Linked DNA regions of Lonchura striata. The protein of the gene in region 1 purifies or fractionates together with the protein of each later gene. This does not show direct contact. Links are inferred from orthologs where the notes say so. Each region holds a gene or a part of one and is shown in the gene's direction. Other genes may lie near its edges. The genes, in order: KDM5A, PHF12 and GATAD1.

What was found.
Region 2: the proteins of KDM5A (region 1) and PHF12 purify together in Homo sapiens (affinity purification with mass spectrometry; 3 studies listed by BioGRID and IntAct, with this or other methods). This does not show direct contact. The link is inferred for Lonchura striata from reciprocal best matches to the Homo sapiens genes KDM5A and PHF12.
Region 3: the proteins of KDM5A (region 1) and GATAD1 purify together in Homo sapiens (affinity purification with mass spectrometry; 6 studies listed by BioGRID and IntAct, with this or other methods). This does not show direct contact. The link is inferred for Lonchura striata from reciprocal best matches to the Homo sapiens genes KDM5A and GATAD1.

Annotation. Positions count from the first base shown.
Region 1 is NC_134607.1:11,873,924-11,883,727, reverse strand, and holds the start of KDM5A (lysine-specific demethylase 5A), read left to right. Parts: upstream 1-3,300; 5' UTR 3,301-3,365; coding exon 3,366-3,530; intron 3,531-3,923; exon of another isoform or gene 3,924-5,358; coding exon 5,359-5,436; intron 5,437-6,919; exon of another isoform or gene 6,920-6,983; coding exon 6,984-7,106; intron 7,107-9,257; coding exon 9,258-9,428; intron 9,429-9,804. Other genes in the region: CCDC77 (coiled-coil domain-containing protein 77), read right to left, coding at 586-629. UniProt on the Homo sapiens protein: Histone demethylase that specifically demethylates 'Lys-4' of histone H3, thereby playing a central role in histone code. Does not demethylate histone H3 'Lys-9', H3 'Lys-27', H3 'Lys-36', H3 'Lys-79' or H4 'Lys-20'.
Region 2 is NC_134622.1:7,572,818-7,582,621, reverse strand, and holds the start of PHF12 (PHD finger protein 12), read left to right. Parts: upstream 1-3,556; 5' UTR 3,557-3,665; coding exon 3,666-3,731; intron 3,732-4,037; coding exon 4,038-4,219; intron 4,220-9,804. Other genes in the region: SEZ6 (seizure protein 6 homolog), read left to right, coding at 1-138, 218-409, 489-686, 783-821, 927-1,047, 1,128-1,230, 1,759-1,791.
Region 3 is NC_134603.1:133,633,732-133,643,535, reverse strand, and holds GATAD1 (GATA zinc finger domain-containing protein 1), read left to right. Parts: upstream 1-4,987; 5' UTR 4,988-5,050; coding exon 5,051-5,250; coding exon of another isoform or gene 5,251-5,254; intron 5,255-5,284; coding exon 5,285-5,495; intron 5,496-5,781; coding exon 5,782-5,841; intron 5,842-6,941; coding exon 6,942-7,125; intron 7,126-7,884; coding exon 7,885-8,075; 3' UTR 8,076-9,561; downstream 9,562-9,804. UniProt on the Homo sapiens protein: Component of some chromatin complex recruited to chromatin sites methylated 'Lys-4' of histone H3 (H3K4me), with a preference for trimethylated form (H3K4me3).

The DNA of each region.
Region 1 (9,804 bases):
GTAAAAAAAAAAATAAACATTAGAAAGGATTCTTTCCATTATTTATATTGATATGACAAACTTTTTTTTTTTTTGGTAAATGATACTATGAACAACAGAAGCTAAGAAGCCTCTTGACTACAGAGGTGCTTAGCAAGAACACAGTTCAGAATCTGGTCGTGGAGAATCAGGAATTTTGATGAAAAAGTGATTTGGTAGGTGACACTAAGGCAATGGTGACCTTTATGGAGCCACTCACTGAACCTGTTTGGATCAGACCCCCAGTGCACATCCATAAAAACCCTGGGCACTGTAAGAAACCATTAAATATGCAAAAGTATAAGTATTGCCTGCCATAACTTGCTGTAGGACTAGAAACTCCTTAAACAGTGCACTTAGAGAAACAACACTAGAAAGAAAGAGGCAACCCAGGCACAAGGTGAGCGCTTTACTGCTCAAGAGCGGCAGACACTGAAAGATGGAAGAAGGACGCACAGCAGGCACAGGGCAGACCTAAAGGTGCCCCAGGGCCAGCCAGGCTAGCAGGCGGGGAGGAAAGGCTCCGGGAGCCGCCTGTCCCGGCGGCAGCAGCCCCACACTCACTACCTTGCGCAGCGCGGGCTCCCCGCAGCGCGGTCCGCTGCGCTCATCGTGCCCCTGCGGAGAGCCGGGCCCTTCAGGGGTGGGGGACAGCGGCTTTGGGCACCCCGGTAGGCGGGCGAGGGGGGTGCCCGGCGGGATCCCCGATGGAAGAGCCCCGAGATAGAGGTCCGGGGATGGGGTCCCGCCTCCGCCACCGCCACCGCCTCCGCACGGCCCCAACGGCCGAGCAACCGCCACACCGGCCCCGCCGCGGCTTAAACGGCGCCACAGCCCGCCCCGCGGCCTCCTCCAATCACAGACAGGCTTCCATGCGGCGCCGGGAGCCTGCACCAATCAGCGCTCGCGTCGCGGGCGTCAGCGGTTCCGCGCCGGCGCGTCTGGGAGTTGTAGTTCTGGGGTGGGCACAGGGCCTGCGAGGAGCGGGGGCCTGTGCTTATGGAGCCGCGCTTGTGACAGCAGCGGGTCGGGCTGCGGGCAAAATAACAGCAACCTTTATCCGCTCTGGCAAAAACGCCCCTTTTCCTTTGAAAATGACCTGGCATTCGGAAGCAGCCACAAGAAGTTACTGGCACAAATTCTGACTGAATTGAGTGTGTTCTTTAGGTCATCCTGCTGCCTTTTAGCCTCCTCATCCTCCTCATGTATTCCCGGTAGTACCTAGTAGTAGTGTTGCCATTTATGCACCAAACGATTTCCTAATTTATTAAGTGTGCTGGAGAAAAAAAAATTGCTCAGCAATAAGCTAGGGTTCTTTTTTCCTTAAGACTTTGTGTCACAGGGACATTCTTCTCCGTCTCAGGATTTATCATAGAGGTGCACAGAAGGAAGAAAGAGAAAACAATTTCTATTTCTGCTCCTTGTTTTTTGTGGAATGTGCTTGGAGAATTGTTTACCTGAAATGATTCCTTGATTGGATTCTGGTGAGGATTGTTTGAGCCTGATGGCCAATCCAATCCACCTGCATCTGAACTCTCAAGAACAGGGTCACAGTTTGTGAGTGAGTTAGATATGGTAGTTAGAACAAGTAGGTTTGTAGTTTTACTTATATAGTATATTAATGTATTATAGCAGTTATAATAAAGAAATCATTCAGCCTTCTGAACTAGAGTCGGACATCATCATTTCTTCCCACTGGGTTCACTTGCATTTTACAATAACTTTGTTTAAAAGACATGGACTTTCTATATGACAAGGGAAAAAAAAAAAGCTTATTTAAGAAACCACAAGGTTCTTCCTCATCACAATTTGCAACTTCCTTGTGAGGGGAAGAGGAGGGACAGGCATTTATCTCTTTTTGGTGACCATTGACAGGAGCCAAAGGAATGGCCTGGAGCTGTGCCAGGGCAGGTTTAGGTTGGATATTACAAATAGGTTTTTCTCCCAGAGGGTGGCTGGGCACTGGAACAGCTCCACAGGGCAGTGGGCACAGCACCAGCCTGCCAGAGCTCGAGGAGCATTTAGACAACGCTCTCAGGCACATGGTGACTCTTGGAGTGTCCTATGCAGGGCCAGGAGTTGAACTTGATGATACTTGTGGGTCCCTTCCAGAGAGAAGAACTCTGTGATTCTTCTTCAAATCAATTTTCTCATGAAATAGAGAAAATAGCAGGGTAGATAATTTCTCTTGGCAAAGTCCAGAAGATAGGCTGCTGTTACGGACTGGCCCTGATGACCGTTGTTGGTTGGTCCCTTCCAGCTCAGGATATAAACTTTTTCTGAGGCTGAAACAGAACACCAGCACGGAGGTTTGAATAATCAGTAAGAATAGAGTGAAATGTGGCATTTGGTAGATAGCGAAGGCACAGTTTTGGTTGAACACAAAAAAACATACTTTGGAAGACCGTGTTGCAACAGATAGGTAAAAGATACAGATCTCTCATTGACAGGAGCCGAGGGAACGGCCTGGAGCTGTGCCAGGGCAGGTTTAGGTTGGATATTACAAAAAGGTTTTTCCCCCAGAGGGTGTCTGGGCACTGGAACAGCTCCCCAGGGCAGTGGCACAGCACCAGCCTGCCAGAGCTCGAGGAGCATTTGGACACCGCTCTCGGGCACACGGTGTGACTGGGGATGTGCTGTGCAGGGCAGGCAGCCGGACTCTGTGACACTTGCGCCTCCCTCCCCATTCCGACACCTCCCTCCGTCACCGCCGCTGCCGGGGGCGAGCTCGGGGCGGGGCCCGTGAGAGGGCGGCCCCCATGAGGGGGCGGGGCCCGTGAGGGGCGGGGCTCGGGAGGGGCGGGGCCTCCAGCGGCGCTCCTGACGTCCGGCACAGACAATGGGCGACGCGGCCCCGCGGAACCGGAAGAGAATGGCTCGCACTTCGTCACACATTCCTCCGCGGCGGAAGTGGGGTGGCCCCGCCCTCCCCGGCCCCCGGTCCCTCCTGTCGCGGCGCAGTGCCCTGAGAGGCGGCGGGCGGGGCGGTTTGCCCTGAGCTCTGTCGCGGGGGCTTGTCCGGGAGCTGAAAGCGAGGAAGCCACCTCGGCAGAGGAAGCGCTGCGGAGGAACTACTTTTTGGATCGGAAGGCAACGTGCGAGAGCTTCCGGGAGGCCGTAGAAGGGACGTCACTTCCGGCGGGCTGGGAGGCGAGGAGCGGGGCTCGGGCGGGGGCAGCGGTCCCGGCCGGGACAGCGGCAGCAGCGCTTGGCAGCACATTCCGCCGCCCCGCCCGGCAGCGCCGCCAGGGGATGCGCCTCGGTCCCCGGCCCAGCCCCTGAGCCCCCGGCCATCCCTCTCCGCCCTGCGCTCCCGGCGGCGGCGGCGCCCCCCTCCCCCTGCGGCCATGGCGGGGGGCGGCGGGTCGCGCTATGCGGCCGAGTTCGTGCCGCCGCCCGAGTGCCCCGTATTCGAGCCCAGCTGGGAGGAGTTCAGCGACCCACTCGGCTTCATAGGCCGCATCCGCGGCCTGGCCGAGAAAACCGGCATCTGCAAGATCCGGCCCCCCAAGGTACCGCCCGCCTTGGCGGCTGCGCCTGCCGGATCCCCGGGTGGTCCGAGAGCGGCCGGGCCCTCGGTGGCCGGGTGGAGGACGTGAGGAGCTGGACAGGCCAGTCCCCCCCTCTCCGCACACACTCGGGGTTTCGTGTGTCGCTTTCCTTAGGCCGCGGTGTCCGTGCCAGGGACGCCGAGGAACCTGTAGAATCTTTGACCTCCGAGCGGGGCTTTGTAGAGGCTGCTTTGGAGCAGCTGAGAAGCGAATAGTGCGTGGTGGTGCCCGGGACTTCGTGCTATTTTTATTTCCAAAACGCCAGCAGTCGACTTGTGAAAGCTGGGAAGGCTTTGTAGGTGAAATCGGGCGTTTGCTCCGGGTGGGAAAGAGGGAGAGGGAAGGGTATTTGTTCGTTTTGTATCATTGTTCATAAACACAATTTTTAGACCGTTAAGAGGAGGGTGGCCAACCTGTTGGTGTGCGGGCATTACGTTTGTTCACAGCTGTTCGGGAGGTATCCGCTTAATCTCTCCGATGGCTTGGGAGTTACAGGTCACCTGCCTAGTGACCAGGCGGGTCATCACAGGGAGAGCTTCAGGCAGCTTGGCAAAAGGCACTTACATCAGTGAGTTATTAGAGTACAAATACACTTCAAATGCAGCTGTTAATAAGAGACTTGAAAACAGTGAGAGAGGTAAAAACCTGAAAAGAAAGTGTGTAACTGAGAACAGTGTAGATATGGGGGTTGCTGATTGGATTTCCTGGTTCTCTCCTGACCTGTTTTGGTTCCTGGAATGTGTTTAGTTAGTTTAGTGACATGGTGAAAACTTGACCTCCAAGGGGCTGCCCTTTCTAAAATAAGCTGCATAGCTCAGTTTGAGAGCCCACAAGGAACAGATCCAGATCCTGTTCATTGAGGATAACTGAAACTTCTCTGGCTGTTGGATGCATTTGCGTTTCTCTGAGACTGCTGAGCTGCTTGCCTTTCAGGGTTTCACAGGATGCACGTGTTGGGTTGATTTATAGTCTGCAATAATTGCTAAATCAGACATTTCATACTACCCTGACTGATTAATTGCTATTTTCTATTATTAGAAGTTGTAAATATTTAAGGCTGTGCTCAAGGCCTTTACATGCTGCAGCAGATTATGTGGCTTGTCCACCTGTAATGGCGTGTCCTTCTTCTGGTGTAGCCACTGCCAGGTGGATGCTCTGCTGTAACTAAAGCTTTGGTAAAAAGTGCTAAAAAGCTGATTTTCTTGTTTTGATGTAACAGGGTTTGAGAAATGGGAGTGGGAGGCACTTGTAGTTGCAAGGACCCCTGATGTTGCTGAGAAAATCATTATGTATGGCTCCATTTCTGTTAAAGAATTGGGCTCACAACTTGTGGTCTTGTCTTTATTGAAATGACTGTAGACAAGCAGAAAACCTTTAGATATGTTATGATATGCCTGGTTTAGCCTTTGTTGCTGTTGACACTGAGGATTTTTCAGTGTGCAGGATATATGGATTCTTTGTTTAAAGTAAATAAATAACCGATCAGCTAAAGAGTGTATTTCATGTTTAAGCATAGCATGAGGTAATGCATACTGAGATGCTTTGAACCTTATTTTCTTTGACATTTTTGAATCTGTGAGGATCTTTATTCAAACTAAAATGTGGTGGGAGGAACATTGTTGTATAAGCAGAAAATATCTTAAAATTGGAAAATTATATCACCGGTTGTTCTGAGAAACTAATTTACTATTGGAAGCTTGTTTACTGAGGCATTATTAGGGTGTTTGGTTTTGTGCATTTTTCAGAGAAGTTTCTGGAAGCAGTAAAATGTCTTTCTGTCTCTGCTTAGGACTGGCAGCCTCCATTTGCATGTGAAGTACAAAGTTTTCGTTTCACTCCACGAATTCAGCGCCTGAATGAACTGGAGGTGAGCTTTTTCACTGTTGATATAATTTTGTGCTTGCACTGAAAGAAAGAGGTCTTCCTGCCTGAGATTTGCAGCTTGCCAGGTTTCTGGATGGGGGACACTTCAGAAGCCTGTAGACCACATCAGTGTTTATACTTGGCAGTGGCAAAGTTTGTATAAAATAACCCTCCCTCGCTTTGAGAAAATTCTGTTTTTTATTTTATTCCCCCAAAATAACCACAGGAGTTTTTCTCATTCACCTGATAGTGTCTAGAATGAATTCCAAATATCATGTGTTTAGTAAGAGCAGCCAGTATCTAGCCTTCAGAGCTCCACAGGCAATGATTTTTTCCTCTTAAAATATTTCCTGCTGCTCTGATACCTCTGGTTACCTCATACTGTCATAATAATGCCTTTTAATCCTTAAAATTATTTTTATAGGTTTATTATAGCTGATAATGTTATGATTTTAAAACTTAAGTGAGCAGTATGACCTCCATTCTGTCCTGATTTTTCCTTATCTCTGCAACATCTCTCAAAGCCTTGCTTTGTTCACCTACCAAAATGTCATTTGGCTTGTAAATGGGTCTCCTTATGGAAAGTGATTTGGGTACTCCAGAAATACTTCAGAGAAGAGACCCTTTGTGTGGATAAGGAATATATAAAAACTGGCACATACAAAAACTTGGTAATTCCCCTCCTCCCCACAGATAATTGTCTTGTTCACACAGGACACCACTTCTTTTTGCCATGGTTGGGATTAAAGCTTGAGATGCTATTTCTTGTTTGGACTGAGGTGTTTATTAGTTCTTATCTATGTTACCGTCTCACAAGCCATGAGTTCTACAGCACTTCACTCTAACACACTAAAAACATGGAGCTATATCTCTCTCTCTACAAGGCCTTTTAATCTCTAATTAAGAAATGACACAAATTATTTTTACTTTTAACCTAATAACTAACCACCTGTGGCCCACAATGTGGACTTTTTTATCTGATTACATTATACCACCCAAACCCATGGAGAAGAAGGTAAAGAGGGACTAAAAACCTCTCTCTTGCTTTATATTAATTACTGTGTTCTAAAACTTAAAGCTCTAAGTTTTCTACCATGTGATATTACACACTTCTATTCAAACTACACACCCATAATCTTAGTTTTATCATTCTATTTTGGAAGCCTTCTCCACAGCCTCAGGTCAAATGCAGTCAAATGTGACTGTTGGCGGGGGTCACAATAATTTTTCTTGTGTTTCTGCTTGGAATGATGATCATTTCATAAGCATGCATTTTGCTTTCAGGCCAAGAAATTATTTGGTAGGAATTTAATTTATAGTGTCTTAAATGCAGAGAGAAAAGCATATGTAATTTTCTTTTTGTGAAGTGTTTTTTTAAACAAAATTTATATTTTTAGGGGTTTTTTTACCTGATAAAGAAATACCTCCCAGGCAAGTTCCATGTTGAAAATGGAAACACTATAAAAACTTACCTTGTTTTCTCTCAGGACTGTAAGATTTTGCCACATTTGGTTTTGAACATACGTGATTGTCTACCTTTACTGATTCCAGGCAATGACAAGAGTGAAACTGGACTTCCTGGATCAGTTAGCAAAATTTTGGGAACTCCAAGGATCCAATTTAAAAATCCCTGTGGTTGAGAGAAAAATACTGGATCTGTATGGTCTGAGCAAGGTAAGTATTTGTAGACCTTAGGCAGACAGGGATTTTAGTTTTCATTCAAGCTCAAGAAGCCAAGCAAGAGGAATGACTTGTGTTACAGCACTAATCTTATTAACTCAGAGATTAAATAAGTGGGAAAAATTAAATGAAAAAAACATTTCTAATTTGAATATTTATGGCAGACCTCTCGCAGTGTAATTAAATTAGTTACCTTTGGTTGGATTGGTTGGGTTCCATACACCAGGTATTTATTAGCTTGTATAGCTTGAGTGTTCTGATTTCAGCTGGCCTCTTGATTTCTAGTTCTCCATTCTTACATGTGGTAGAGCTGCAGGAGTTTGAGGTGTTGTTTGGGAAGGCAGCAGTATGCTTGTGTTCATTTCAGCTCTGATCAACAATTCTGTAATGATTTATTGCAATTTCTCCTTCTTCTCTTCCAGTAGAGGTTTTTATAAACACGTGTCTCTGAAAATATATAATGTCAGCTCAAGGAATACTTATTTAATTTCCAAAACAGACTTGGCTTAAGGCTGGCTAGAAATGAATGTTTCCATAGTTATGTTTGGTGAACGCACCAAATTTCTTTCAAAGTTTATGCACAAGTCTCTGTTGGAATTTTGTTTTGCACTGGCAAAATGTATGTACCATTATAGACTTAGCTGCTAATAAATATAAATAGGTAGATTTCTTCTTGCAGGGAAAAGACCGAAGTTCTGGTAGTTCTAGTGCTTCTAGGTTAGTGCATCAGTTTCCATCCCCAATCAAGATTTATTTCTCTTAGGTAAGTAAAAATGTAAATGAGTATATTTTTGTTTTAAAGAAAGTCAAGTGTTTTGGAAAGTCTAGAGGGGCTAATAAAATGCAGAGAAAAGCTGATAAAATGTCTTCTAGTATTTTTTTTTTTCTTTTTGTGTCTATTGTGTCTATGGTGGGATATGCAGAATATCAGAGAGATACTGGAAAATATCTGGGTCATTGTAGTGAGCTGGAACATTTCAATTGGCTGTAGATTGGCAGCTCTGAGTTGATTTGGTTCATTACTGGCTTCTTTAGCTTCTTTAGATAATTTCAGAAAACAAGTTTTCCTGGAAATTTTAAAGATAAGTTGAAGTTTAGGACAGGTTTATTTTAAAAGGTTTCTCTAGAGCTTTTCTGTAAGTATGAATAAAAATAATTATCATTATTATTATTGTTTTATGTAAGTGTAATGCTGTGGGATTATGGGAGAAACCAGAATTAACAAATTTACTTATCACTATCACAGTTAGACTTCTCAGTTTACTTCAGCCTCACAAGCAAACCATAAGTTTAACTCCAGTAACAAATGTTTTTGCCTTGAGGTTTCTAACAGTATATGAAACACTGAGCTTGAAATTTAGTCTTCATGTGTAAAGAAATGCAATGCAAAAGTTTATATTCCTGTAAAAATGATACTAGTCTTACAAATAATATAAATGGAATTATAATCCATTTGTGTTTTAAGTTGCTTGGCAGTCAAACTGTAAAAGGAATGGAGGCAGTCGAAATGTGGCCTGTGTGTCGGAGGAAGCAACTCATATGCTGTTATACTGCTTGCAGGAAAATGGTTTTGTTTTTAATTGTATATACATATAGATGTAAGCAGTGATAGTTCTGTATGTGAATTACTGGTCTGAAACCAATTGAAGTCATGTGTAGTAACTGGACTGAGTTGGAAGGTAAATTGACTTTTCCCTCTTTATAGTAGTCTCTCTTCCAGGTTTTGTGAGAGTTCTGAGCTCCAACACTCCTTTCTGCCTGGGGTCTGTTAAAATGGGCTTTATTGCTGGCCAGACTTGTGTTTTACAACAGAGTACAAGTCTGGTGAGGGTTAACTTTTCAGTTTGCTCTTATGGTAGGTTTTGTATCTTTTCCAGCACATGATAACCTCAACTGTTGGACCCCTTCTGTTACAGATAGTATGCAATTTATGTTTGCTAGCAAATTAAAAATCACATTACATATATGAAGCAATAAGAATAAGTGCTTTGTTATTAAAGGATTAGTCTTTCAGGAAACAAAAGCTAATTTCAGGATTCTGTCACTTTTCATGGAACCTTTTAACATTTGGTTGGTTTAATTGATTCTTGCTTTACACAAGGTGGTGAGAGCAGCTCAAAACCCTTAACTTTTTATTTATTTCAGATTGTTGCCAACAAAGGAGGCTTTGAAGTAGTGACCAAAGAGAAGAAATGGTCTAAAGTGGCGAGTCGGCTTGGCTACCTGCCAGGGAAAGGCACGGGGTCATTGCTCAAGTCTCATTATGAGCGGATCCTGTATCCCTATGAGCTCTTCCAGTCCGGGGTCAGCCTCATGGTGAGATGCTCATCTTTCACGCTAGGAAGAGGGTACCCAAAAGGCACACAGGGTGTTGTGTTACTCTCTGTGAAACTGGGACATGGGGTCACTGCTGTTAGAAGCTCCAGCTGTGCCAACAAAGTTAGAACCACCCTTGTAGTTATCTGTGACAGAATAGTGCTGGAAGTTGTAACATGACCTTGTGTAGTTATTTTGTGGTATTTCTTTATAGGACTGAGGTCAACTGTGTTGGGAAGGAAAACAAGACAAAAGAAGATATGCTTAATTGGAAATGTTTATTTTTCTCTTGATAACTTGGTAGCAGGGATTCAGTTTTCTTATTTGAATGGTGAATGAATTAATTGGCCTATTTTCCAAATTGTGTGTGTAATGC
Region 2 (9,804 bases), on another chromosome or scaffold:
CGTCCTCACAGCCAGAGCTCCTCCATGGCACTGTGGTTACATTCCATTGCTACCCCGGCTTCCAGCTGACTGGCACGGACCTCCTGATGTGTCACTGGGACCTGACGTGGAGCGGTGACCTGCCCTCCTGCGAGCGGGGTGAGTGGTGCCCACCAGTGACCCCCTGCCCTGCAGCGCATCCCCAGCTGCTGTCACCACCGGTCACTCCTGCCTGCAGTGACAACCTGCCGGGACCCTGGGGATGCTGAGCACAGCCGCAGGGTGGTCTCCAACCCTAAATTCCCGGTGGGAGCCACCGTGCAGTACGTCTGTGACAAGGGCTACGTCCTGGCGGGCGCTGGGACCCTCACCTGCCATGACCGCGCTGCGGGGGGACCCAAGTGGAGCGACCGCCTCCCCAAGTGCATCCGTGAGTTGCGTGTCCCCTCCTCGGGCATATCCCCCGAGCCGAGGTCGAGCGCTGACGCCGCCGTACCCCTGCCTCGCAGCGGAGACCTACGAGCCCTGCCACAACCCCGGCGTGCCGGCGGGCGGGCGGCAGAGCCCGGAGCGGCGGCTGTACCCGGCGGGAGCCACCCTGCGCTTCTCCTGCACCGCCGGCCGGGCGCTGCTGGGCGAGAGCAGCCTGCGCTGCCTGCCCGGACACCCCTCCCGCTGGAGCGGCTCCCCTCCCATCTGCAAGGCGGGTGAGACCACCACCCCCCACCCCGGCACCCCGCCGGCACCGCTCAGCACCCCACTTCTCACCCCTGGTGTTGGTTTCTTTCTCCCGCCTCCTCCAGCCTCCTACGATGAGTTTTACAGCAACCGCAACCTGGATGGTAAGGGCGAGGGTGTTTTGGGGTGCCAGAGCGTGGAGGGGCACCCAGGGTGCGGCCGATGTGGGGTGTCCCCTGGGTGAGCCCCCAAATGTCCCTTTCGGACAGCTGTGGCCAAGGCCGTGCCCTCGGGGACAACGCTGGAGGGCACCAACGTTGCCATCGCTGTCTTCCTGCCCGTGCTGGTGGTGGCCCTGCTCATCGGGGGCATTTACCTCTACTTCTCCAAGTGAGTGGCCCGCTGGCCCCTGTCACCCCATGCGGCCCCATGGCCCCCCACTACCCACCCCAGCTGCCCTTTCCCCACAGGCTCCAGGGGAAGCCGGCTCTGCAGCTGCCCCTTGCTGGCTCCCACCCCTATGACCATATCACCGTGGAGTCGGCTTTTGACAATCCCACCTATGAGACAGGAGTAAGTACTGGCCTCCACGCCCCCCGTCTGGGGCTGGGCACCCTGGGGACCCTGCACTGCATGGGCCACCTGTGCCAGGGGCTGTGCATGGGCTGGGACGGGTGTGGGATGGGGTCATGTGTTCCAGGAACCACACATTATTTAGGAGACGCATCCAGGAACAACACAGGGGATGGGACATGCACCCAGAGACCACCCATGGGATGATGTATATCAGGATGGACATCCAGTTGGGGACCACACACAGGACAGGACATCAACCCAGGGACCACATGTGGGGTGGGATATCCATCTAGGCACCACACATTGGTTCAGACAACCATCCAGGGATCACACACACTATCTGGGATATCCATCCAAGGACCATGTACAGGATGGACGCTGATCCAGGACCCATGGATGGGATGGGACATGCATCCCCAGGGCTGTCGTAGTCTGGGATGTGCCCCCAGGTCTCTACGGGATGGGAGATGCCCAATCCCTGTCCCAGGCACCCCGTTGCACTGCCGAGTGTCCAGCCCCTTGCAGTCTGTTTTCTTTGCAGGACACGAGGGAATATGAGGTGTCCATCTAGGTGTGGGCAGCGTGGAGCTGGGCGCTGCAGCCACCCCTCCCGGGCCCCCCCGTGCCCACCGGCCCCCGGCACGGGCTGGGAACACCTCTCCCAAGGAGACTCAAGCCGAGCGCTTGGCAGGACCCACCTGGGCACCGGCCACCCCCCTGCCACCCCCAATTCACCCAGACCCCCGTGGGATCTGCCCGAGCCCCACTGTCACCCAGCCCCCCGCACTGGGCTCGTGAGAGGCTGAGCCAGCGGGGGTCCCCGGACCCCATCCTGCCCCCTGAGCCAGCGGGGGTCCCCGGACCCCATCCTGCCCCCTGAGCCAGCGGGGGTCCCCGGATCCCATCCTGCCCCCTGAGCCAGCGGGGGTCCCCGGATCCCATCCTGCCCCCTGAGCCAGCGGGGGTCCCCGGACCCTGCCCTGCCCTTCGGGCTCCATCCTTCCCCCAGACCCCGCAGGGGGAAAGCAGCAGCCCCACAGTCCGTGCGGCGGAGGAGTGACACGGGCAGGGGGAGCGGCGCTCTGGGGACCCACAGGTAAGGACAGGGCTCCCCGGAGCTGCAGCGAGCAGGGGACAAAGCCCCGGGGGTGGCCGAGGGGCTTGGGTGGCCATGTGGGTGTCCCCCCGCCCCCCACCCAGCACACAGGGCTGGTCTCCCCACGACCCTGTGTCTCCCAGCGCCGCCACGCAGGGACGTGTCCCTCCCGTGTCCCCAGCATGCTGCGTGTCCCCCCGGCCCCCGCTTGCTTCGCCCTCACCGGGGGGGTCCCTTCCGCCACCAGCGTGTCCCCAAGGCGCGTCCCGGCACCCGGAGTGACGGGGCGGGCAGGGACACCGGGCATGGCTGTGCCGCCTCCCACCGCCGCGTCCCGCCCGGGCTGGTGGCCCCGGCCCCCGCCGCCCCCTCGGTCTGGAGGGGACGCCGCCCCCCTCCCCATCTTTTGGTTGTTTCATTAATAAAAAATGGTGTTTTAGAAGAAGCGATGGCGTCTTCTTCAGCGGGGCCGGGCAGCTTGGAACGGGGATACACCCACACATACCCCCCCCACCCCACCCCAGCGTGGGCCCTGAGCCCACCTCATCCCGACCCCCATGACACCGCGACCCCCACGCCCCCTATCCGGTGCGCTCCGGGAGGGGAGCACTGCCGCTTTAAGAGGCGTGGTCTCTGCCGGGGTGACGTCACGAGAGAGGCCGCGCGCCGCGCGCCCCCTGCCGACGGGCGCGTGCCCCGCCGCCCCGCCCCGCGCCGTTACGTCACTGACGTCCCCGGTGGCCCCGCCCACTCGCTGGAACGTGACGGCCGCCACGCGCCTGCGCGAGAAGGGGGCGGGGAAGGGGCGGGGAGGGGCGGAGCCGCGCGGGGAGGCGGAGCCACTGCGCGTGCGTCCCGCCGCCCCCCCGCCGCCGCCGCCGCCGCCGCCGCGCCAGGTCCGCGCGCGGGAGGCGGAGCGGAGCGCGCAGGCGCGCGCGGGGCGGGCGGGGCGGGGGCGCGGAGTGCGCGTGCGCGCGGGGCCCGGAGCGTCGGCGCCGCCTGTGCGCGGGGCGTGCGCGGTGCGCGAGCGGCCGCGGCGGGCGCCGGGCCGCCGCCCCCTCCCTCCCTCACACACCCACCCCCTGCGCGGCAATGGCAGCGGGCGTCGGGCCCCCCGTGGCCGCCCCCGGGCACGGCTGGAGGAGGAGGAGGGCGACGCGCAAGCCGCAGCGGCCCGTGGGATAGGCCCCGCCGCCCGCCCGCCCCCGCCGCGCCGCGCCCCCCCCCCCCCCGCCGCCGACTCGACGCGGAGCCGCCGCTGAGGGGCCGCCGCACGTCCCCGCCTCGCTCCCTCTCGCCCGGGGGGGGCTCTCGGGGCCGCTCCTGGGCTGGATGAATGTGGGAGAAGATGGAGACCAAGACGATCGTCTACGACCTGGACACCTCCGGGGGGCTGATGGAGGTGAGGCCCGGGACGCGGCGGGGGGAGCCGGGCCGGGGGGGCAGATGGCGAGGGAACCCCCCCAGCCCGGAGCCCCGTGGCCTTAGAAGGAAGTGCGGAGGGACGGAGGCAGCTCGCCCTGCCCCTGGAGAGGCCCTGCCGGACACTGGGCGGGCGGGGCGGGCCCGGCCGGGGCTCTGTCCCCCCCGCGATCCCCTCCCGGAGGGCCCGGGGTCGCTGTCCCCCCGGTGGGCTCGGGGAGAAGGGCGCTGGGTCAGCGTCCGTGCAGCCCCTCAGAGCCCGCTCTGTCTGTGTGTGCATGTGCAGCAAATCCAGGCCCTCCTGGCTCCCCCCAAGAGCGAAGATGGGGAGAAGAAGAGCAGGAGGCCCGAGAAGGAGCCCAGGCGAAGTGGCAGGGCCACTAACCACGATAGCTGCGATAGCTGCAAGGAAGGAGGGGATCTGCTGTGCTGCGATCACTGCCCCGCCGCTTTCCACCTCCAGTGCTGGTAAGGCTTGGCGCTCTCTCCCTCCGGATCTGCCCAGAGCACCTTCCCTCCGGCCGCTCCCGCTTCCCGTTAGGTCCCGGGGAGGGGGGGGACGTGGGGCCGGCTGGAGCAGACAGGAACAAAAAGGAGGTGCAAACCCCGCTTCGGTCCATCCCTCCTCAGACTTAACCCACGGCGGCCGAGCTGAACCCTCCTCTGGCTGCTTTCTGGAGGGTTGGGGGTCCACCCTCCTCCTTTCTTTTTGTGCTGAGCAGCGGGCGAGAGGCCTGGAGGAGGAGCGAGGCCGCTGGCTGCGCGGCCTGGCTGCCTTGCTGCTGCCCCTGCCCGGCCTTCCGCCCTCCCCAGCGGGAACCTTCCCCACTCCCCCCTCTCCAAGGGTGCCTGGCTTGTGGGAGACCCTCCGGAGGGCTCTAGCTGGAGAGGGGGAAACCCTGGTGGCGTCTCCGCACCAGGCCTGACGTTCCCAGCGCTTCCGTGCTGCTGCAGCTGCTGGGAATAATGGAGGTTGCTGTCTCTGTGTCTCCCTGCCTCACTGTTTACAATATGGCGACCTTCCTTTAAATTATATTTTTATTCTCAGCGCCATTTTGGCTGCATATATGACTTCCAAACCCTCGCAACACTCCCCACAGTATCTCAAACGTGAAAATACCTTCCCCGTGGAAATCCAGGCCTCCAGGCTTTAACGTTGGCCGGGTTTATTCCTTTCCCTCCTTTTTTCTCTTCCTCCTTGCTCTTCCGACCTGCTTGCCTGCTCCGTGGGGGTGTCTGCCGTGAACTGGGGGGCTGCCGGGTGCTCTTGCTGGGAGTTGTGTGGCTTTGTTGATGAAGGCAGAGCTTTCTGCATGCAGATCTGGCTGCCGGCTGGGAATCGAGGTGCGTGTGGAAGCGGTGGCAGAGCTCGAGGTGCTGGAGGCTGCAGCAGGATGGGCTCTTGCTGCCTTCCCTCACAGCTTCCCAAGCTCTCCCCGCACAAAGCGACACCACGCCAAAAGCGCCTCAACTTTCCGCCCCAAAGTTTTTCCTTTTTCTGCACCCGGAGCTTGGATGCATCCTGAAATCCCCCCTTTCAACAGTTGACAGAGGCGGGCGGTTTGTGTTAAATTAGCACTGCCAGAGAGGATAATGGAGTGGAGGAGGGAGCGGGGCAAGTCAAACAGCTGGAGCTTGGGAGTACAGAGTATTCTTCCTTAGGGGAGATTTTTTAACCACATTCCTTTCTCTCTTTCATGCTTTGGAGCTTTGTTTGCCACCCTGTTACAGCTGTCTCCTCTGCGCTTTTTTTCCTCTCTCTGTTGTTTTTTTTTTTCCTTGCTTTTTTTTTCTGATTTCCATTTGCTTGCTGGCTATTCTGTATTTCTATGCTAATTGAGGGTCTCAGAACACTTACTAAACTGGTTGCTGATAGCAGGGAAGCTGAGTGTGCGGTCACAGTCCTGTAGGGAGTGTCCCGTTAGCAGCATGTAGCCAGGCAAAGCCGACAATGCTGTAGCATGCAGCCATGACATCATCCCTCCTACCCTGAGGAAGTGCTACTGGTGGTAGTGCAGATCCTCTAATATTTCCTAGCAGGATAGTAATTATCATTATTTTTCATCCAGTGTCCTTGATGAGTTTTAATTTAAGGGTGGTTTTTTCCTTCTGCCGGGCGTAGTTGTTTTTGGATGCAGCCAAACGCGTCCTGAGCGTTCTCCTAGCGAGGCTGAAACTTCCCATTTTGGGATGGAAGAGCTGTGCCTAAGGCTGCAGAGTTAACTCTGAATCCTAGCTAAGTCTGACCATAAATGACACCACTTTTTGCCTAAATTTCATGGCTTAAGTTGGCGTTGTTTTTGTAGTTAGTGAGTAGGGAACAACCAGGTAAATCAGATACCTGAAAAGCTTTCACTGTACCTGAGCTAGTTGCATTATAATTGTATAAGAATTTATATAAAAATATTGTATAAAAAATACATATATATATCTTTGGCTAACTAGTCACTCTTCAGAACAGAAGTGAAAGAGCAATTCTAAATACTCTCTTTCACTCCATTTGTTGCCTCTTCTGGGGTTTCTCAAGCAATCCCTTTGACAGTAGCCCAGACCCTGCTGTGGGAGGTGGCACAGTGTGGAAAGGCTTTGTCTAAAGGCCTCCAGCTTGGGTCTGGTTCTGCCTCCCTCCTCCTGAACCTTTGTTGGACCCTTGGCTATGGCCTTCAGGTGACCTAGGTTGTCTCAAAGGAATGCTCAGGTTTTGTTTTCATGTGTCTTCCTATTACCTCCTACACTTTGCTGAAAGTAAACTTCCATTCTGGATATAAACTTAGGCATAAAGAAAGGCAGCTCTTGCAACTTCCTTTCTGCCTCCTTTTTTTTTTTTATTTAAAGAATAGTAGCTGTACTGGAAGGCTCGGTTTAAGTCACTTGAATAGCCCTGCTGGAGCACTCTTAACTGATTCGTGTCAACAACTTACCTGTTCTCTGAATATTTATTGTGAGCTTTAGTACCAAGTTGAATTTATTATCAGTATAGCACAACAAAAAAAAGTAGCTTTTAATTGGTCTAGGGTATATGAGCAGTTGATTTCAACTGTCTGGGAGAGGCCATATTACAAAAGAAAAGGATTTTCAGGGGTATGATTGGCTCAAGTCATGCAGTCAGCTGGAGACAAACCCAGCTCAGCTTCGCAGGAACTTGTGTTGCTCCTTCCTGTGTAGAGAAGGTTCTTCTGTATCAAGATGTTTAAGGCTATAGTGAGTAAGTTGGCTTTGCTAGGTGTGTGACCCTCAAACTTCAGCAGTTTGCCTTAACTTCAGTTTAGCACTTGAACCCGTTGTCCTCTGTGGAAAACAGAAGGCAGAGGCCAAAACTCCGGAAACGTTTGGAGTCTGATAGTATTACACATCTGAGATGGTAAATAACAAGTGTTGTTGGTACACTGTGGAACGACTGCTCTCCTGAATTGACGTGGGTGGAAGTGACTTCCCAATTCATCTGTTGGGGTGTCAGTTTTTCCCACAACTCCATTTTGGAGTCACTAGTTCAGGAAAGCTGCTATGGGTGCTCTGAGAAGCCAGAGGACTCCAGCCTGGCTGGAGATAAACTGGCTTGGTGGGAGGGATACAGGAAAGTGTGAAATCCCTGCCAGATACTTAGTTTCAACATACTTGGATTAATATCACAGTCAGGTGACTCTCTTCAAGTTTGAATTTACAGAGGAAGGTTTTTTGGGTCCCTAGGAATTCTTGAAAACAGGACATGGGATTTTTAGCTCTGAAGTTGTTGTCTTGTTCTGCTATTTGCCCACAATCTGCTGCTTTGGGTAACAGTGCAGAGTGCATTTCCATCCTGATGTTCTGCCTTAGCCCAGGCCCCCAGGAATGGTGCATACTCCTTCTTTACATGATTGAAAACCAATTTTCCAGTGCTACTTCTATTCTTTCCCATTTATATCCTCCTTCTGGCAATGTGATTGTTAGAATTCCCTATGTTTTCTTGAGCTTGTAGTAAACTTGATTCACATTGAAGTGGGTTTGCAAAGTGACTGATGTTGCAAATTCATTACGAAGGATTAGAAAGATCCCCGGGAGAGGAAAAGTTTAGTTAACAAGCTGGGGGAGGGGAGTGACAACAGGAGGGAGAACCAACACAGAACAGTTTTGTGTTTGTTTTTTTTTTTTTCTCCCTCTTTTTGTTTTTTTAAAAAGTCTCCCTGCCTGAGTTTCTGGTTGGAGGAGCCCAAAAGCACAAACCTCGCTGAATGCTGCGGTTCAAGTCCCTCTTGTAAAAATCTCATGCCGCTGGCTGTGCAGCTCTGCTGGCATGGCAGAGTGACCTCAGTCCCTTAAAGCTCACCAGTTACGTAAATGACAGTGCCAGTTTTGTGGCACGGCTCAGCAAAACGTTTCCTTGTAGCTGGGCTTCCTCACTGCTGTGCTGGGAGAAGTGTGTTCTGTCCGTACCAGGGCCTGCTACCTCCATCAAACTTTTTGCAGCACCTCCTTGTGTTTATATTTGCAGTGTTTGGCTCATTTCCCCTCCGATTTGGCAGTCTTCACCCAAGTGCTGGTGTCAAAGAACAGGAGTAACAGAGCTGCAAAGTGCAGCAGAGGAAGCTAAACTAGCATTTTGGTATTTTCTATGAGTCACCTTGTTTTAAGTGCTTCGAACAAAGAATGGAAAAAAGTTGTGTTTGGCTGGTAGGGCATCAATAACTCTTTCCTCACCTTATTCGGCCTAAAATGCCCTGTTGACTTGTTCCAGCTTTGGATTTTTACATGAATATGCCATCTGTGAGTGGAGAAAAACAATGGCCAGTCTGTTGTCTCAGTTAATCCTTCCATTAATGGTCATCTTGGGCCTGCCTCAGGTGTTCCAGGTGAATCTTAGAATGGTCTGAGGCATCTCCTGCTGCAAGGAGTAGCAGGATGTCCAGGAAGATGCTGGAGAGGCAAACTTCTTACCTAATAGTGCCTAGGAACGGGTTTCAGTACATCAAATTACATCACAGCTTCAAAAAAGCTTGTCATTTTAAGTGGAGGAAGCTTTTATTATGAGGCTTTCTGTTTATTTGGGTTTTTTTAACAGTAAATGATTGGCAAACCCCTACTTTAATGTTTATGTAATTGCATATTGAAGGTCAGAGTAAGCTGTTCTGTTCCCAACATTTAAATGTATCTATCTTCACCGATACTTTGTTAAAACAATATTGGTTTAAGTATGTGCTTTTAAAAAAACCCCGACTTTTGTTTTTATGTGTCGCTGGTTCTGATATTTTGGGAGACTTGGGGCCAGCCTAGGCTGGATCCTGAGGCAGGAGGAAGTGATTGCCCTGGCTGAGTTTCTGGCAGCAGAGGGTCACTGCGTGTGCGCCTGCAGATGTGGTAACATGATCAGTCTTGGCAGCTCTGCTCAGCAAAGTTGTACCAGTGAGATTTTTCACTCTCCTTATTTTGTCCTAAATCTCTCTGTGCAAAGGCAGATAAGGTCAGCCTAAATCTATGGACTTCAGCTGGGGGCTTCAGCAAATCATTCACAGTACGAATTTGAGGAACTCGTGATTGGGTGACTGGCAAGCCACCACTCTCACCTGGGTGTGGGGATGTTGCTCGTGTTAAACTGCGCATGAGCAGATTTTGCACTGTGGGCAAGAACTGGGGATTTGGATTGAACCGTGGGTCTCTGCTGCAGTTCCCAACATCAGTGTGGAGTGATAGGGGCATGGCTTTGGGATTCTAAAGTCGAGGATTCAAAGTTGAGGAGGGGGATGTTTAGCAACTTGACTTAGGCTTTGCCTTCAAGACGTGGCTGCTGCATGGACTGGTGTTTCATCAAACACCTGCTTTGTTCCAAAGCTGTTTAAAATGGCACAGTGGGAGACTGTGAACAAGGAAAATTCTCCGTGGTTTCGTACCTTGGCTTGGGAAAGTGCCAGTTTTATGTTGACCACGACTTGTGGAACTGAGAAATCTTTTTTTTGTGCCACTGTGAGGTCCATTTTTGAGTTGACTCTTCAGGAGCAGGAGGCTGCAGGGTTTGCTTCGAGGTGGGGTTCACTGCTTTGTTCCTGCTGCTCCAGAGCTGGTCTTTCCTGGTATGTAAGCCT
Region 3 (9,804 bases), on another chromosome or scaffold:
TAAAAACCTTGTCAATTTTCAAGCATCTTTAGAGAGAATGCATTAGAATAGTCTAAATAATTTTCCAACTTGTCCTCTAGCCACCCTACTCCTGACATAATATTGAGCCTTTGAAAAATACCTATAGGTATAAAGTCTTTCAACTAAAACGGTCCTTCATGAACTGTCATCATGAATTGGTCTGAAAGTTGTTTAACTCACATAGCTTCCTTGAATGGTAATTTCTGAATAGAAAGATTCTCGCAAAAAGATTGTGTATTGCATTGAGATGTCTTGCAAAGTTGCAGTAAGATATGTAAGAGTGCTCTCTGTGAAGATAGTGAAGTTTGTGGGTTCTGGTTTTATGTAATTTGGTTAGGTTGTGCAGTATATCCATTGTTTCTGTGTTACTCTTATGAGCATGAAATTAGACTATTAAATTTGTATTTTCTTGGTACTTATTTTAACACCATAGTCATTGACTTTACAATTCAAAAATAAAAGTTTGGCAAGACTATTTTGTAAACCTGTTAATTTTATAATGTAAAAAAATTACTCTAACCTTGAATTGTTATTTGCACTTTCATAGTCTATACTTGATACATTCCCACTTTATATACAGGTAGGATACTACAACCATGTAGATGTTTGGCCAAATGAATGCTGTTAATAATATGTAAAATTCTTTGATTAAACATTTATTACTTAAACTAATTCCGTTCTGTCTCATTTCATCTTAGACTTAATGTAGGATATCCTTGAGACTGCTGACAGACATTTTTAGGGTATGTTCAGTACTATGCCAGATTAGTTGGACACCATGTAGTAAGCTGAATGTTTTGATACGTAAATACAGGGGACCATCACTAAGCTTTGAAAAAAATATACAATAGAATTTGTCTTAATTGCTACAGACATATTGTGCACTTGTTCTTTGTAGAGTGATGCCTTGTCACTATGAGTAGTGGTGCTAAAGAGGGGGGGCTAATTTTTGTGAAAGATTCTGTTAATTAGTGTTACTTAAGTGCCACTTAATATCCACTCTGGAAATTCCAGAGTGCCTCTGTTACATTAGTAGCACTAAACTATTTTGTTCATTGTTACAGTTACATCATCAACTTCCTCCACTAAGCATGCCAAGATCATGGAATCACAGACTGGTTTGGGTTGGAAGGGACCTTGAAGATCATTTTGATCCAATCCCCCTTCCATGAACAAGGACACCTTTCACTAGACCAAGCTGCTCAGAGCTCTATCCAACCCGGCCTTGAACGCTTCCAGGGATGGAGCATTCCCAACTTCTCTGGGCAACCTGTTCCAGTGCCTCAGCACCCTCACAGAAGGCATCCCACTGTAATAGTCAGGGAGGGTGGTGAGAAGCCAAAACATGGACACAGTAATAGCCAGTTTCTTTACAAGCAATTGTCTGGCTCAGGAGACAGCTTCAACATGCCTTGAAAGAACCAAATACTCATGATCATTTTATGTCATCTCTGTCATTGCTTTACCTACCCATGTCCCTCACGAGGGCCAAAACCCAAAAACCTCACAAAATCCAGGTGAATTCCTGGCTCTAGTACAAGCTTGAATGAGTAATTAAGACCCAAAAGCTGCAAAGACAGATGCATGTTACTTATGCGAGTAATAACTGTGTAACACATCTCAAGATTAACATCAGTTGTGGCCCAGGGAATTAAGGGAATAAAAACTGCTTTTCTCAAAAGAAAGCTGTTAAGTACAGAACCTTAGAACATAACCATGTGGAAATCCAGAGTGCACCAATCCATCAGATTTATACCCAGTTTCATGCATTTACAACACAAATATTTCTGGAGAAGCAGTCCATGTGCATCCTCTGCAGCTGACTGTGGAACAGTGACACACACATAAGAATAAAGGATTCTTCAGCTGTGAGCCAGCTGACTGTAGGATAGCAGTAAGAAGCTAGGAGGAAGCAATGCAATTAAATCCACTGCAGAACAATTCAACTACTGAAGCAGGAAATGAGCAGTATGTACGGATTTGCATCACTTCCAATAAAAACCATTCTCACTGAAAGCTCCTGGGGAGAAAGAGTTCTACTGACAGCCAGTGTGCCTGCCACAGTCCCCATCCATAGGTGGAACCAACATTTTATTTCCTCCACTTCTTTGTCGAGTCTACATTGGAAATTTCACAGAGCAGGGACGGGCTCTGATGACTCCCAAGGGCAGCCCTTTCTTTTACTGCGGGAAAAATAAACTGAAAATACACATTAACTGGAAGAGAACTTTTACTCTGCAACTTTAGCTGAGCTTACACAGCACAAAATGCCTCAGCTGCATCAGGCACTTCCAGTCAGGCCTCAGACAGAGTCAGCCCACTCCAGCTCCAAAGAGAGGCTAGTTCTGTTAAGGAGAATCAGGAAACTGAAGAGGATGCTCAGAATTTGGGATTGACGTTGTAAGGCTTGGGATCCTCTGGAGAAGAAGGTACTTAAGTAAAGTCCTGAGCCCCACCTCTCCTACCCATAACTACCAGGTATTCAGCAACTCTCAGAACATTTCAGCTGTTGCCCAAGATAGCTGACATGCTGGGTGTAATTTCTGACAAAACATCATAACCACTGTTCTTTGTGTCACCTTCCAGGTGAGGTAGGGATGAACAAACTGCACTGACAGCAATCCCTGCCTCTGATTTTGCACAAGGCCAACAGAATAATCATACCAAGAACACTGTAATCTCAAGGTGTTGTTTTACTGTGGTTCTATTGAACTGACAGAACCACACTTGTCAAGAAATAGTAAACTAAAACTTTCTGACAACATAAAAATGGTTGTCTAAACCAGTTTTTAATTATCTTAAACTACCACCGCAGATTACGTTTCTTAAAGATTAAGCTTTATTCATTTGGATTTTTTAAATTCAAGTTATTATTTAAAAGCAGAAAGAATAATCACAGTGGGTAATTTATCAACAATATACAGTAGCATATTAAGAGTATTCACATATATGTAAACCACACATATTCTATATTTGTGACAGAAAAGACCCTGCACATGATTTCATAAAGATCAAGGGGTTAGCAGTCTGGAGTCAGGAAGATGGTAGAACTGGAGCAGAAAAAAACAACTATTGCAATTTTTATTTGCTCTCCATTAACAATAAATATTATAATAAACTCACAAAAACTTTCACAAAGTATTGGATACTTACCTCGACAGAAATGGACATTGTCACTCATTTCCAGCCCATTTCTACACAGACTAGTGAAGCTCTGCCAACATGATGGCAGTCAGAGGGGCCCAGACTCCTGAGGTGGGTGGTTGGGAACAAAAGCAGGCAGACGCTACAAAAAAAAAGTGGGAAGAACTTAAGGGTTCTGAGAGATCACTGATCTGCAAAATACAACTACAGAGAGATGCATTAAAGAAACAGAAAACAAATAAAAAAAAAAATAAAAAAAAAAGCACCCGGTAAGTATAAACAGCTTGAAAAGAGATGAGGGCAAATGAAGATTTAAATCAAAATTGAGGAATAAAAATTTGGTGCCTGAGACAAGAAAGTCAAACTTGGTGTGAAAGAGGCATGCAAGAGGTTAAACGTAGCTGTCTGTGAGCCAGTAGCAACACAGGCACACCCTGCATCCACTGCATGCTGCATGAGGGGAACATGTATTAATAGATTCCTGCAAATTATGGCTCTTTGTGTCCACTGAGGACAAGACAAAAATCAATTTCATTTGCACCAAAGAAGCTTTAAATAAACTGAATATGGGAATTAAAAGACTGCAAATCCTCATGCATGACTGGGCATTTCTTTCATAATATCTGACTAGAAAAACTTCTACAAGGGATGGCCCATGGCCACGTGAGTGGCAGTAGGTGAGGAACCACTATTAGATCCATGGTTCCTACTACATTTGGTTCTCAAAGCTTCACAAAGGCACATGTTCATTCCCCAGCCTTTTAAACTACTTGATACGTAACTGAGGCTTCATGCAAGAGGGGCATAGAATCATAGAGTGGTTTGTGTTTGAAGGGGACTTTGAAGATCATCTAGTTTTAACCACCCATGCCATGGGCAGGGTCACCTTCCATTAGCGCAGGTTGTTCAGAGCCCCACCCAACCTGATTTTGAACATTTCCAGGGATGGGGCATCCACAACTTCTCTGGGCAGCCTGTTCCAGTGCCTCACCACCTTACAAGCAGAGGATTTTTTCAAAATATTTAATCTAAATGAAGGCAAAAACTGGCATATGTTGAGGTTAACATTCACCAACACTTTCTTCTGAATCAGGACAATCATTGCAGTCCATCTCCAGTTCCCTGATTTTCTGTTGAGCCAGAAGAGTGACAGCTGTAAATCCTTGAATGACAGCACCTGGCATCCCCTGCAAACAGCAACAGCATCAGAGGTGGCTTCTGCAGCACAATGTTAAGGGTTGGAAGCTACCTTAAAGATCATCTAGTGGCAGCCCCCCTGCCATGAGCAGGGACACCTCCCACGACACCAGGTCTTGCACAGCAAAGGTCTTACCCAGCACAGTTTTGAACACTGCCATGGTTGAGGCATTCACAGCCTCCCTGGACAACCCGTTTCAGTATGTCACCACATGCACAGTAGAGAATTTCTTCCTAATATCTAATCTAAATGCTCCGTCTTTCAATTTGTACCCATTCTCCCCTGTGCTGTTCTGCCACTGCTGTTCCTGACAGAGTCCCTCTGCCTCCCCCGGACGTTCCCTTCAGACGCCGAAGGTGCTGCGAGGTCTCCACACGACCTTCTCCAGGCTGACCAGCCCCAGCTGCACCATCGGGGCCGCCCGTGCCCGCCTCCGACCCCGCCGGCACCGACAGGCCAGCGCTCTCCGCGCCGCGGCCCCGGCCGAGGCGGGAGCAGCCCCTGAGGGGCCGGGCCCCGCCCGTCCCGGGCCGGGCTCGCCGCCGCCAGCAGAGGGCAGGCCCGGCCCCGCCGCTCCCGGCCCGCCGCTCCCGGCCCGCCGCGCCACATCCGCCGCCGCCGGGAAGCGGCCGGCGCCGCGCTCCCGCCGCTCGCTGTCGGGCCCGCGGGCCCCGCGCCGGCCTCAGCATGCCGCTGGGGCTGAAGCCCACCTGCAGCGTGTGCCGCAGCACGTCCTCTTCCATGTGGAAGAAGGGCGGGCAGGGCGAGATCCTGTGCAACAACTGCACGGCCCGCTCGGCGCCGCCGCCCCCCGCCGCCTTCGCCACCACCTCGGCGGCCGCCGCCCAGCACAGCAACAACGGCGGCGGCGGCGGCGGCGGCGGCAAGCAGGTCAGGAGGCCGAGGGCGACGGTGGCGGAGCCGGCGGGGCCGGGCGGGGCCGGGCGGGGCTGCGGCCGGGGTGCTCGGGCCGTCCCCCTTGTGTTCATCCCGCTGTTCCCCGCAGAGCAAGCAGGAGATCCACCGCCGCTCCGCTCGGCTCAGGAACACCAAGTACAAGTCTGCGCCCGCCGCGGAGAAGAAGGTTTCCACGAAGGGCAAGGGCAGGCGGCACATCTTCAAACTAAAAAACGTAAGGCGGGGCCGCGGGTGGGTCGGGAGCCTGCCCCAGGCTGGGCTGGACATGGAGCCCGCGGGAGCAGCGGGAAGAGAAACCGGTCAGGGAGTTCAGCACTCGCTTCTCCACATAAATCCTGGAGAGGGAAACGTCAGCTCTGTTGCTTTGAGCTTTAAAGTAGAAGTGTTTGCTAGTTTTCTTATGTATCTGTATGTTATCTAAAAGAAAAATCCATTTCTGGAACTTTATGGTTTATTTGTTTTAATGCTTTTGATTTTCTGTTTCTGTATTCTTTTCTTAGCCAATCAAGGCTCCTGAGTCCGTATCCACTATAATTACAGCAGAATCAATCTTTTATAAGGTATGGTTTATGCAAATCTATTTGCAAAAATTATTATCCTGTTTCTGTTTCCAATGTTAGGAATTATCATGGACAGTGAAAGCACTAGAGATATAATCACAGAAACTGTTCTTCCTTGCCTAACAGTTGTGTAGGATTTTGGTTTGCCATAGTTATTGCCATTAAGTCTTGCAAGGTAGTCTACCTAAGTTTAAATAGTTGCCATTTTCCCAGGTTTTTCTCTTCCAAGCAAAAGTACTTTTTTTTTTTTTTTTTTTTTTTTTGTAATTATTGCTGTCAGCATTTTTAAACTTAACTTGCACTGTGCAGAGGTCAGGTGACTAGAGACGATTATTTAGATTTGTTTGATATTTGCTGTCTTAGGTGCAGAATATATTTCGCATAGAGGTGGGGTTGCAGTGCCCCAGTATCTCAGCTGGCTCCCATTTGAGAGCTGGTGCAAGCAGTCTCAGACACCCTGGGAACAAGATCTGTTGGCACTTGCAGTGAAGCAAGAAGGAGCCTTCTCACCTTCATGCTTGAGAGCAGCTTTACCAGCATGCCAAGGTGTTGGTATTCTAAAGCACTCAAATTTGCTTTTGTTTCCCAGCAGTATAAGCAAACAGAATGTTTTTTCACCCTCTTCCTCTCCAAAAAAGTCAGAATAGGCAGTGGGAGACTACACAGCCAGTGGTGGTGTGAGATTCCATATACTCTCCAGGGACCTGATGTTTCATGCCTGGCATTCCAGATGAATCTCGTTTGCTTTTGACCAGTTCAGAAAAGAATTACTGTCATGTGTGTCTGTTTTTATCAGAAATTCCTAAGAACTATGTCAAAATTTCTGTTCTCATTATGTAGAACATTGCTACTTTGATACTTTGCAGTGTTGTTGTGAATAAGTTTGTTTGGGATTGTTTGTGTTCTTTTTATATGTTTTGAAAATAACCACCTTTCTTTCTTGTGCTACCATTCTTTAGCATGTGGCTAAATTGAAGCTGCCTTTCAAGAGTGGAATAAATTAGGATAATTTAGAGTACTGCTACTTAATACATGAATCAGGATGTGAAGCTGACAAAAATCAGGTTGTTTGATTTCAGTGCCATTTGTATGTCTTCTAGGGTGTATACTACCAAATTGGAGATGTTGTTTCAGTGGTTGATGAGCAGGATGGAAGAACATACTACGCTCAGATCCGTGGGTTTATTCAGGACCAATACTGTGAAAAGAGTGCTGCACTAACCTGGCTCATTCCTACCCAAGCCAGCCCCAAAGACTGTTTTGACCCAGCATCCTACATCATAGGTAATCTGTAAGCCTTCACGTCATGCAACTACTTGGATGTGCCTATGCTAATGCAGAGTTGTATTTTTTAAATCAGCATTTTAGCTTCTCAAGGTATTTTATGCAAGTTCCACATTTTAGACTCTAATCTTGTAAACATCTCATTTACTGTAATAAGACTTTTTATTTATCTTGTGTATATAATATGATTACCACTATTGTAGTGTGTGATTATCTGAGTGTTTGTGGGTAGAATTACAGTTGTGCATCTTTAAGGATCAAATTATTGATTACTATTATTACTATTATTTATTATTATTATTACTGTTATTACTATTGATTAAACTATTACTACTATGTTTAAACCATAGTAACTTTGATTCTGATATACTAGTCCAAGTTGCTTATTTTAAAGTGACCTGAATTACTTGATCTTTATCCTGGGTATTCAAAATACATAGCACCAGCATAGAGACTGTTCTGCTATTGATGATAAAATAAGGAATTCAGAAAAGTCCCTCTAACAGGCAGAACACAAATAGAATGTATTTTAAATATGTTAACTACAATAGTCCACTCAAATACCAGAATGCTTCAAATGGGATGGGGGGGAAGATCAGCCCAGCAAAATTAAAGGTAGAGGTTTATTGCCTAAAACAGGAGGAAAGTCATGGATTGCAAGGGCAAGCTCTGTAAGGGAATGTTGGCTGTTGTGGCATATTTTTATTCAACATACTTAGTTTTATGTCTCCAAGTTATGTCTTTGAATTTTTTTTCTAGGACCAGAAGAAGATCTCCCAAGGAAAATGGAATATTTAGAATTTGTTTGTCATGCACCTTCAGAATATTTCAAATCTCGATCATCTCCCTTCCCTACTGTTCCTACAAGGCCAGAGAAAGGCTATATATGGACTCATGTGGGACCTACTCCTGCAATCTCCATTAAAGAAACTGTAGCCAATAATTTATAGTTTTCAAGGAATACTTTGGACTAGTTCTTTTGTTTGTATCCTCCAATTTGTAAACACCTTACAAAAAGTTTTAAAATTATAAAATGTGCCGGGTTTTTTTAAGGATTATGGTATTTATTTTTTTCAGATGTATCAGACCTTTGAAGTGAAAATTTTCATTCCAGTTGATGCATCATTTCAGTGCTTTGCTCTTCAGAAATTATTGCTGATCTTGGGACAAAACCAGAAGTTTCATGTCATCTTTGATGTCTGTAGCATTCATTCTTACTTTTTAAGTTATTTTCCAGAAGAGGAGTTTAAAAGATACAATCATCCAGCATTTTATATAACTGTTTAATTTAGTTAACTGTGACTGCTGGTTTTTGTAAAATAATTTAAGACTAGCTTCACCTAAATCCTGAAATGGTCAGTGATGCAGTTAAGTTTTCTGTTACATGGAGAGAAGTGATCTTCCTGGATTTCTGCAGACTGAAACCTCATCCGTAAAGAGGGACGCTAACAGTCACCTTTTATGGAATTTTGTTGATCTGAATCTGTAATTGGCCTATGTGTGTAGCTTTCTGCTAAACTTACTTATATAAGGGCATAAATTTCCTGGAAAATTTGATGCAAATTCAAAAATTAATGTTATTTGCCATCCTGGCATCCTTATGGCAGAAGTGTATTTGCATTTCCTGAGCAAGCCAACACTGACACATGATTTGAGTTTCAGACTGTTAATATTTGTTTGCTTGTTAGCTTTAGATTTTAAATTGTTTTTTCAGTCTTCACAATTAGTGATGGTAAGAAAAAAAAAAGTCAGGCAATTAAAATGAAAAATCAGTAAGGGAAATAAAAATTAATTAATTTTATGTATTGACAGTCTCAGCATGACAAGGAATGTGTATAAACAGCAGAATGGGAGCAATGCCACATACTAAAATACCAACGAAGTTTTCTGCCCTAAACTTTTTACAAGCCATTCAGCTCCAAACACAATGAGATGTGCTTGTATGGTTTGAATTCCAAGGGTATTGTATGAAAGCATTAAAATGTTGCACTAGGCTTATATTCTAACTTTATGAAAGGCTTTGATTTAACATGTAACATTTGAAAGTCTCAGGTATTGACAACTTTTAATACAGTGGGACCTGTGAGGGCAGGAACCAGACAGATTTGTTTCAGCCTGCAGCCTCTGTTCTGCCCTCTTCAAATACAAGGAAGAACAATCAGCCTTAGGGGAGTAGATGCTAAAATTAAGGGATACTGTCAATAATTCAAAATGCTCAGGAATTAGCAGTAGATCGGTAATACAGAGTTAAATCTTAGTCTTCAGTAGCTTAGAAAGATGAGATGTGTGCCTATGTTCCGTGTGTTGCATTGATTAATCCCAAGTTGACATCACTTCTCTCCATTCTCTCCTTTCAGTTTCTCTGGGTTTTTTCTTCTTATTTCTTTATTAACAATTACAAGAAAATAAAAATAACAAGTCCTATATTTACAGTAACCAGAGTGACTCCCTTGACTCAAATCTTTGACTTCCTTTCACTGCAGTCCACAAGGTTTTCACTTGGGATCACTCTAAAATCCCTGTGCTGCCTCAGCATAATCCATGGACCTGTCTTCTTCTGTGGGCTGTCTTACCTTATATGAATTACCAGGGTTGGAAAAGGCCTTGATGGTCATTGAGTCCAATGAAGCTTAGTTCATTGTCAAATCCTCATAGGAGTAACAATGCTCTACATGGTTT